Linked DNA regions of Drosophila melanogaster. The gene in region 2 interacts genetically with the main gene of each other region. Each region holds a gene or a part of one and is shown on either strand. Other genes may lie near its edges.

The links.
Region 1: of arr (region 2) and nwk, changing one suppresses a phenotype caused by changing the other (phenotypic suppression), as found in Drosophila melanogaster (one study listed by BioGRID).

Annotation. Positions count from the first base shown.
Region 1 is NT_037436.4:9,136,148-9,141,054, reverse strand, and holds the start of nwk (nervous wreck), read right to left. Parts: upstream 3,196-4,907; 5' UTR 3,166-3,195; exon of another isoform or gene 3,091-3,165; intron 2,474-3,090; 5' UTR 2,379-2,473; coding exon 2,358-2,378; intron 2,283-2,357; coding exon 2,053-2,282; intron 1,963-2,052; coding exon 1,435-1,962; intron 1,150-1,434; coding exon 267-1,149; intron 205-266; coding exon 1-204. Other genes in the region: Use1 (unconventional SNARE in the ER 1), read left to right, coding at 3,952-4,303, 4,398-4,754. UniProt on the Drosophila melanogaster protein: Adapter protein that provides a link between vesicular membrane traffic and the actin assembly machinery. Acts together with Cdc42 to stimulate actin nucleation mediated by WASp and the ARP2/3 complex.
Region 2 is NT_033778.4:13,479,919-13,484,846, forward strand, and holds the start of arr (arrow), read right to left. Parts: upstream 3,312-4,928; 5' UTR 3,237-3,311; intron 2,167-3,236; 5' UTR 2,051-2,166; coding exon 1,858-2,050; intron 1-1,857. Other genes in the region: cbc (crowded by cid), read right to left, coding at 3,869-3,986, 4,055-4,562, 4,653-4,928.

The DNA.
Region 1 (4,907 bases), on a different chromosome or scaffold from region 2:
TGAGATTTGAGATCGCAATTGATTGCCGGAAGTACCATTAAAGGCGCTGCCCGCTGTCTCCTGATCGATGTCCAGATAGTTGTGTGGCACGTAGCCCTCCTCGCCGCGATAGTTGCGGGCCCTTAGCCACCCATCGCCGTCGCCTTCGCCAACCACCTCGAGCTGTTCATTTTCGACGATGGTGAGCTCGTCGGGATTCTGGGCCTGTGGAAAAAGTGAAAAATTAGTGGCAAGAAAAAGTATATAGTTCTTTAAAGCTCACATACCGTATAGCTGTAGAGTGCAGTGCACTTGAAGATCGCCTCCTTGGGTTCTGGAACAATCGGTTCGTCCTTGTCGTCCTCCTCCTCGCCAGCTCCCCAGTTGACCTCAGTGGGATCATCCCAGCCACCAGCGCTACTGGCCATCATGGATGACGAGGCAGCAGCTGCAGAAGAAGCTGCCGCTGCCGATGGACGCACTTCGGGCTCATCCTCACTATCGCTGAAGGTACGATCCCTGGATAGCTGTTGCTCCTGCTTGGGCTTCGTTTGGGCAGCTGCCTGAGTCTCCTCCTTGTCGCTGTCGTAGAATGAATCGGAACTGGGATTCTCGCCCTGGCCAGAGGCGTCGGTGCGCATCGAAATGGAACTGGCCGAACGCGTCAGCTCCTGTACACCCATATTCTCGGCCTCCTGCACCCACTCGTCCACGTTAATGCCGCCATCGCGCAGGCACTGCAGACATGCCTCCGCTTTTGTCTTTTCCGTCTCGGATCGACGGATTTGATCACGGAACTCCTCGATCTTGGTGTCCAGATCCGGTCCATTTGGATCGTTGGGATCCGTGCGCTGGCCAGAGTCTCGCAGCGACTGGCACAAGGCCAACTTCTTGGCATTCTCCCTGATCGAGGCATTCTCCTTGACCACTCTTCCGGCCAGATTCTTGGCCTCCTTGGTTAGCGTCTCGGCGGCGGACTCATGCTCCGCGGTCACCTTGCGCACCGGATCATTGTCGCACGCCTCGAAGTCATATTGGATGTGCTGCTTCAGCACCGGATAGAATAGGTAGCAGCACTGCAGGTTGTACTCCCGCGTCAACTGCTGCGCCTGGTCACGGATCTTTCCGAAGCTATTCTGCGTAGCCGAGCAAGTCAACAGCTCTGTGCGTCTGGAAAAGATGTGTTTTAATGGTTAGGCAACATTAAGATAAAGATTTCTTAAGACAGCACTGTTATGTACATATGTACATATTGAGTCATAAGATTAAATAAAATGATTTAATAACTTTATGAGCCATATCAGGTAGCGCCATAAAAATTATCAGAATGTAATTGACGACTTGAGCAAACATTGATTAGAAAATGGCTTTGAACTTGTAAAATTTATAATTGATTTACCGATTTTGCACTTCTGGATGGTTTATAATTTATGAGCAATGCCATTATACACTTACCCCATTAACATCAGGTACTCGGCAACCCGCTCGAAAACATAGTTCTCCATGGTGGTCATCGTTGTCTGCAGATCGACGGTGAAGTAGCGATTCTGATGCGCATTGGCCGCCGCCAAGCTGAGTACGTAGTCATTCCGGGCGCCAGATGACTTCTCCTCCAGCAGCTCCTTGCGAGATGTGACCCGGGCGCTGTTCTTCTGCAGCGAAGTGATTGATTGAAAGAAGGAGCCCTTCTTCTTCTTAAGCTTCTCCTCGATATCGCGGGCCTTGTCCCGAACATCGTGAGCACAATGCTCTTCGTCAAAGTATGATTTCTTGGTCTTATCCACATCGCCCACGCTCAGATGGAGTTCCTTCTGCACATTGACAATTCCGGCTAGCGAACGCTTAGCTATGGCCAACTTATAGTCCCGCAGAACCTTGGCCTCATCCGCGATTTGCTGTTGAAACACCTCTATGGCGGCCAATCGAGCACGAGCCAGTTTCTCATTCTCCTCGAGCACAGTGCGCCAAACGCTCCACATGTTCCTATGAGATTACGTATAAGTAGGTGGGTAATTCAAATTGACTGAAGGTTCTCGAAAGAACGTTACTAGTTAGCTGGAAAGCAATACCCACCAGCGTTCCTCCATGCCCTCCATCTTAATATCTGGTATATTGGGTATCTTCTTGTTGAGATACTGCGATGAGATCTTCAGCAGCGACTCACTGTATGACTTCTCGACAGCGGAACGCTTGATGGTGAACTGCCGGATGTCCTCCAGGAGGTCGCATTCATGCTGATTCTTCAGCTGCAGCTTGGCCACCTGCTCCGTGTGCAAATTCTTGAGGAATTTCACATAGTTTCCCTGCAGGATTACGAGGTATACGATGAATGATTATTGTGGAACTATCTTTATCAATTCGATTTATTTATGATTTACCTTACGCGGCGGCGGCTGCATCATGGGGCTTTTTCTACGACAATCGGGTCACTCTACAATTGGCTTTTTTTTTCTATTTTAGCTCCGACTTAATGGTGTTACATTACCTCTAGCAACTGTAAATAGTATGATTGCTTTATGAGAGGATATGATATACGGGTATTAAAATACGATACGATATTTAAGATCCCATCTTATTTTTTTAATATAAAAAAATTTATATTTCAGTGGCTTAAAAGGGGAGATTTATTTTTAACGCCATGACTTATATCAAAGAATCTAACATTATCAAATTAAAGATTAGATAAAATGTAGCCCTACTGATATTTATTATATATATATATTTTCCGATTATTTTTGGCTGTGTAAATGGGTGGTGTTGGTGGTACATGTGGGTGGTTGTGTGGTCCTTAAGCCGTTAATAGGTTCGCTACGCAGCAACGGGTCTCAAAACTTATGTAACTGAAATGCAATGATAACTGACATCGAAACGCAAAGGAAATCAAGGGTTTTCTTCAAGCTCAAATCTAGTACTATTTTTAGCTGGAAATTTTCACTCGGGCAGCCCACGCAGCAGCCCCCCTTTTTTTGGGGGTATCGTATCGATTTCTCTGGCCCCGGACTAGCTTATTTTTTTTAAGCATTTACACCAACTACGTTATTCAAAACACTTGGCTAACACTTTTTTTGGACATGGCCGGTTAAGATGGTTGTTTTTCAGCTGGATTAGTACTTTTTGGGATTCTTATCGCTGGGTTTTCACTGAAATTTGTGGTCTTTTTCTGGGCAGCTAAAATCCGTTGCTTACTTATCGATTTCGATTTTCACGACGTTTGTGTGAGAACTTTTCAACATGCACCGTTAACTGCTGGTGCTGCTGCGCAAGAAGAGACCGCCAAAGAGAGCGGTGAGAGAAAGTCGAGAGAGAACGAAGTCGTGTTTCATTCATGGCCTCTAGTACCGTTAACAAAGAGGGTGAGTTTTATTGTTTTTGCCCCGTCAGCTGTTTGATAACACCTCACTTGCGTGTAACGGCACTTAAGGAAAATGAAGAAAAAAAAACTACTATAAAAATTCAACCTTTGAATGGTATGCCATTTGATCTTGACACCTGGCGTACGACAACAGCTAAAACAAAAATGTGCGTTTGCGTGAAACTACTCATATGCTGTGGCTATCAAAAACGGTTTAATTGATAACTTCAGATATTGGCCAAGAGGTTTGATAAGATTTTCGAGTCGCGCCCAGAAGTATGCATGCAATAATATAAATGCATTACGTTATCTTGAGAAAGTAGACATAAGCTTATAAATATGGCATATTGGGAACTTGATGTTTTTTTTCAAAAATTTTTAAAAATTAAATTTTAACAGGATTAGAAGATTATTTGTTTGTTATGTTTTTTTTACTTTATACATTTTTACATTCTTACATTTTACATACACATCCTCAATAATTTTTCATCACTACTCACGACAACCTATCGATAAGTTTCTATCGCTAATAGGACCAGCTGCTGACAACAAATAGGTTTCGACCTGGTATTTTAATTTAGGAATTTGTACTTTGTTGTTTTCATGTTTTCAACTTGAAAATGGCCACGAAGCTAAATGTAAATATTCGCACCCTGCTGGCCAACTGCGAGGAACTGGCCAAAAGCGAACAGAACTTCTGGAGGCTGCAGAAGTTCATTAAGTCCCTGGACACAATGCTTGCCGAGCTGGAGGCGATGGGCGATCCGCAGAGTGTCAAACGTATCCCGGGCTACTTGGAGCGCCTACAGGCCCTTAAAATATCCACCGGATATGCAGACGTTCCCGGTTCCACAACAAAGACTCCTTCACAATCCTCAGCCGTCAGCGAAACTGGGGAAAATGCACTGAAAGAAATAAGGCAGCTGCAAAACAGCAAATATCACAACGAACTGCGAAAGGAACTGCTCCAGGGTAATAAAGAATTAACAAACAGTTTTGTACATATTTTAAAATTTCTTAAATTCAAAAATGTAATAGTTCATAACTTAAAAAACATTTATTTTAGATTCCGATGCCCTGCGAAGACGTCGAGGAGCAGATGAATCCTCCTCCAGTTCTGGAAGCGCAAACGTTCAGGAAACTTCTGGTGAAAACATGAACCAGGCTGCCAAGTATTATACGAATGCCCAGGAGAAGATCACCGAGCACATGCTCTCGCTGACTCGGAACTTAAAGGAACAGACGGAGACCGCCAACAGGATTATCCGAAGAGACACGGAGGTTGTGTCGCGTTCCGCCGGAATGGCGGATCGCAATATCAATTCGCTAGGAAAAGAGGCTGAGAAACTGGAGCAACATTCGAAAAAAGCCTACAAGTGCTGGCTGTGGCTGATGATTGCCTTCGTAATTGCCACTTTTATAGGTGAGTCATTGTATTTTGTGGAAGTTTTGTTCAAGCTGCAAAAAAGAACCCCTCTTGGAAAATCCCAATTCATTTACTTAACAAATATACCTTAAGTTATCCAACTCAACAACACACATTTAAACACGTTTATAAACCAAGTTTCCTGAATAT
Region 2 (4,928 bases):
AATAGAAGCTAAAGCAAATAGCGCTTACGTAAAGGGACCAAAAAAAAGGGGGAATCCCCCACACGGCATGACAGCAGCGCGCAAAAACGTCAGTTAGCTGCAAAAAAGAACAAGGTTTAAAGAAGAACTGGGTGGCCGGTGGGTAGTGTGGAAGTGGTGGCATGGGTGGCATGGATGGCATGGGTGGCATGGGCGGCAAATCAACGCTGGCAAAAAACACTTTGTGCGCGCGTCAAAGTGTTAAAGAAAGTAAGCATCCAACCAGCCGCCCACACACCACCCACACACGACAGAGAGCTGGCCGGGAATGATGGAAGATGGGGTTTTTTTTCCGGAGCTTTGTGTACATATTTGATGCGCTTTTTTTCCTCCCACCCGGCTCGACAAATTTAAGTTTTCGGGCTTCCTTTTCGGTGCGGCGGCACTTGCTTTGTGGATGCCCCCATGCATGCTGGAGTACTCGCAATTCCGGACTCCGAAAAAACTTCGGATTGCAACTGAAGGAGAGAGCCGGAAAAAAAAAATAAAAAAACGAAGAATCCGAAGGCTTATCTTTCAGCCAAACACTCGAGCGTTTTTGGGGCTTAACGATGTTTGGACGGCCTTTGTCCATTTGCTATTTCCATATTGACTTGTCCCGTGCAGGTCCCTTCTACTTCAGTCCTTTGAGCCCCTTTTTTGAAGCTGCACTGAGAAAAACTTTCAAGGAGTCATGCAATATTAATCTATAGAAGAACTGTTTCAGCCCACGAAATTTGTAAGTTCCTCTTACAGACTTCATATCTTAACTTTACATATGATTCCCAACAGAACAGTTCATATAGAGTGGATCTATCGATTTACCATTAGATTTTAAATAATGTACAAGTTATACAAGATTTAATTGATGAGAACTGAACATTTTTCTGAGTGTATAATTTTTGAGCCTGGGTCAATGCTTTGTGCATTTTGAAATATGCCGGCAATTACCGGGCAACTTTGCCATATTACAACTGCTGAATTATTAGTGAGCTGCTTTTTTCAGCTCATTAGCGTCGCATCTAGTGGAAAAGTGTTTGGTGGGGCCGCAGAGTTGTAGTAGTCGTAGGAGTAGAAGTAGATGAAGAAGGGGGTACTAAATTATGCGCAGTGCAATCAAGTTGAGTGCGTACTACAGTCTAAATAAGTAGTAGTTGTTTATTCATAAAAGCATTGCGCCGAGAAATTGTCAGCCTTTGGGCTTTGACAACACGAAAAAGAGCTTAAAGGAAAACGCAAAGCGGCAAAGGAAGGGGCTAAAAGGCTGGGCGAGGGGCGGGGAGCGGGAAGCTCAAAAGTGCAGTTGAAACCACATAAACAAACGCATACAGTGGGCACTCGAACAGGCAACATGCCTGAAATGCAGTTCAGTTACTCATATTTTATCTATGGGATTTTAAGCTTTTAAATTCAGTGAATCATTGAAATAAGGAACTATACTATTAAGTAAATATTCTATCTGAATAGTAATTTTTGATGTACATATTGAAATTTTGCTAAATTAACTATTTAAAATGAATATTGACCAATAAATATAAATATCAAATATTGATTTGAGACTAAACACTCTCAATTTATAATTCAATCACTTGGGAATCACGCAACTACGTTGGTTCACATTAGCGAGCGATACCTGTAGTACAAAAGCCTTTGAGGAAAGTAGAGGAACGATATCAGCGAACCCCCATTCCCATTACAAACTGTCTATCCCTGCGGTTTTTTGAACTCAAAGCCCTCGCCACTCGTCAAATTAATCGAACTGCCATCAAATGCTTGTCAGTTCCCAGCTCCTTTGGCAAAACCGTTGCCCTTTGTTCGAAATGAAAGCACAGAACTTACCATTTTTGTACTGCCAACTGTTTGAGATGCCAAAGCAAATCAGTAGAAAGCCGATCAGCATTTGTCGCCAGCCCACTCCGCTGTTAGATTTCGTGCATTTCGTCGCTTTCGTTGTCACATCTTCATTATTATCTATAACTTGGCACAATTGAGGTTCGATTTCAGCAGACTTTGTGTATGGCTCGAGAGCCATCTTATTTTGGAAGCACTATCTCCGGAATTTTAAGACATTTGGCGCAAAAACAACAGATGACGCGACCCGATCGTGTTTGTCTTTTGTTAGGCGCACATGGTAATCACACGGAAAAACTGCAAGTGGAAGGGAGAGGGAGGTTTGAAAACAGGTCGCTCTCGAAAATCTTTCACTCCCTAGGGTATCAAATAACACCCTTGTTTTGAACTCTCGTTTGTAGTTACAACAGTATTTGCAGAGTTATGCCTGTTAGTAAATAGGTTTTAGGATTTTTGTTTTACTTTCTACGTATCTTTTTTAATAGATTAATATTGGTTCAACTGTTATGACTACAATACAATTCAAATTTATTTCAGTTTTGATCACTAGTGAGTTAATAACTTTTAGTTCCTCGTGCTCGCACTTTTGTTGCGTAGTGTAAGCTAGCTGTTGCTTATGTTGTTGTTATTTCAGTCTTTCAATTGAGTTTCCCGCTTCTTTGTTGACGAGTGTGATCGTCTTGTTTGCATGTGTGCGAGCCACCAATTGTTGTTGTCGTTAAGTAGCGAGTGATAAGCAATTGTGCAACTGTGTGAGGGCCACCACACCGCCATCACCCCCTCCGATCAACTGGTCGCCAAATTGAAATACTGTAAGTGATAAGGTGACTCTGGGTAATTAGGGAACCTCTTTTGCCGCCGCTTCTACGGCGCAACAAGCCGGCAATCGACGAATTGCGGTGCGTGCGCGTGTGTGTGCAACCCCCAGAAAGGCGCAGCGCTGCACTTTCCAGTGGAAAATTTCACGACGCAACCAAAACAAACGCCGTTTGCCGCTGGAAAATGCAGCAGCAACAGAGAGCAAGTGAGAAGAAAACACACAAACACACGCGCACACATGCACAGACGCACACACACACTGGGGGAAAACAGAACGTCTTTCAAGCAGGCCGTAAATTTAGATGCCCGAAAATCTCTTGTTTTGTTTTTAGAACCATTTGATACACATTCCAACAACAACATCAGCAACATCTCGCATGCTGCACAACAAACACGAAAAGCACGACAAATTCCACAGTATCTATGGTTTATGCCCGTTGAAAGTGTATTAATCGTCGCCGTTTCATCGCTATTTGTTGTTAAACCAACGCAATTCGACCGAGCGCAGCCATTTTGTGGTTACTTTGTTTTGTAAATATTTGATTTACTTTTCACTGAGTTTTCCGTCCGCCGTGTTGCCGTGTTTTTCGTCTCGCTCTTTCGAACAGTGTGACCGCACTGAGGCGACGTACGCAGCCGTCAGTATGGCTGCACCTAATTTGCCTAAATATTACCAATTGAGTGTTCTAAATATACCAAAAATATACTGGAAGTAGAGTAGACGTTTGGTTGCACACCTTGCTAAAAAAATTTAGAACACCATTTTGTTTGAATTATTTTCGAATAGAATTACATAATTTTACCAAATGGCGAAAAATGCACATTGCAAATATATTCAAATGCAATTTTTACAAAACCCTTTTTCAGTGGTTATAAGAAACACATAATAATACATACATACACATACAATACATATACTGAATATTATATTCTTGTATAGTTATAATTAATTATAATAGTTTTCAATTTTCAGAAATTACAATATTTGTTTGATATATGTTCTATTCTTTTATAGCAAAACTTAATTAATTTTTGCAAAATGTTATTAAATGTTATTTCAGTTGTTAAACTTGTGGAAAACTTTAAGTTTACTACTTGCACATCTAAACTGTATTTTTTGTAACGCCAACATTAATATAAAATTTCTTAAATTACATCTAGAGCAGAGCATTTACAAATGCTAGGTATGATTATCCATGAACTGCAGTTCCGACCACAGGAGCAGGGCGTTCGGGGGCAAAGGTCGCGGCTGCGGCGAAAGCAACATCACTGCCTGTCTTTCCATATCCACTTCGGTTCTGAGGATAATCAAATAACAATCATATATAACTAGTATAATATCTAGTTTAGGTTCAGCAGCACTTACACGCAACAAAAGCCGGCCACATTGGTGCCAATCACATCGTCCTCCACGGACTCGGCAAAGCTGAGGGCCAGCACATGATGGATTAGGGCGGGCGTGGGTGTAACCGCCACCACCTTGGTCTTGTTGTCCTCCGCCTTCATTCCAATTGGCATGCAGGAGTCGGGCAGCGGCGGTGCGCCGATCTTGTAGAGTCGCAGGTCCTGGAACTTCACCTCGAAGCTGAACGGATAGAAGGGCGCCCTTGTATTGCCGTAGAAGTACTCCTTGATGCGCTGATCCCTCGCCTCGTGTCGCAGTTCCTTGCTGCGCTCGACGACGCCGCCGCTCTTGGGCAGCAGTACCACATGAACTCCCTTGGGAACATCTCGAAGCAGCTCGTTGTATAGTCGCTCCTGGTCCAGAACAAAGATGGCACAGGCTCCATAGGCTTTGGCCGCGTGCAACAGGTGCGCGTAGCCGGATCCCTTTACCCAGCCACAAGTGTTTATAATAATGCCAGAGCTTTTTGCTGCAAAAAGCAGATGCAGAAATTTGCAGTTTATGAACGGGAAAATGTATTGAAAAGTGCAAAGATATGTGTTACACCTTCCCAACTTACTTCGCTTGTTGCTATTCAGAGATTGCAGTGTTACCTCTGCCATTTTGGAAACCACGGCATTGTACAGCACGCTGTTTCCGCTGGGAGACTTATGGCCAAAGTGATAGACCAGCGGCGCTGTCTTGGCGAATCCCTCCTCAACGTTCGCCGGTCGCTCGATGAGAATGGTGGCCACACTCCCGGAAATGGCAATCGAGCCCTGTCCAACATCCAGGTCGGCGTACAGCGGTCGACGACCCACGCGCACAGCATAGTTAAGCAGGATGCGGCACAGAG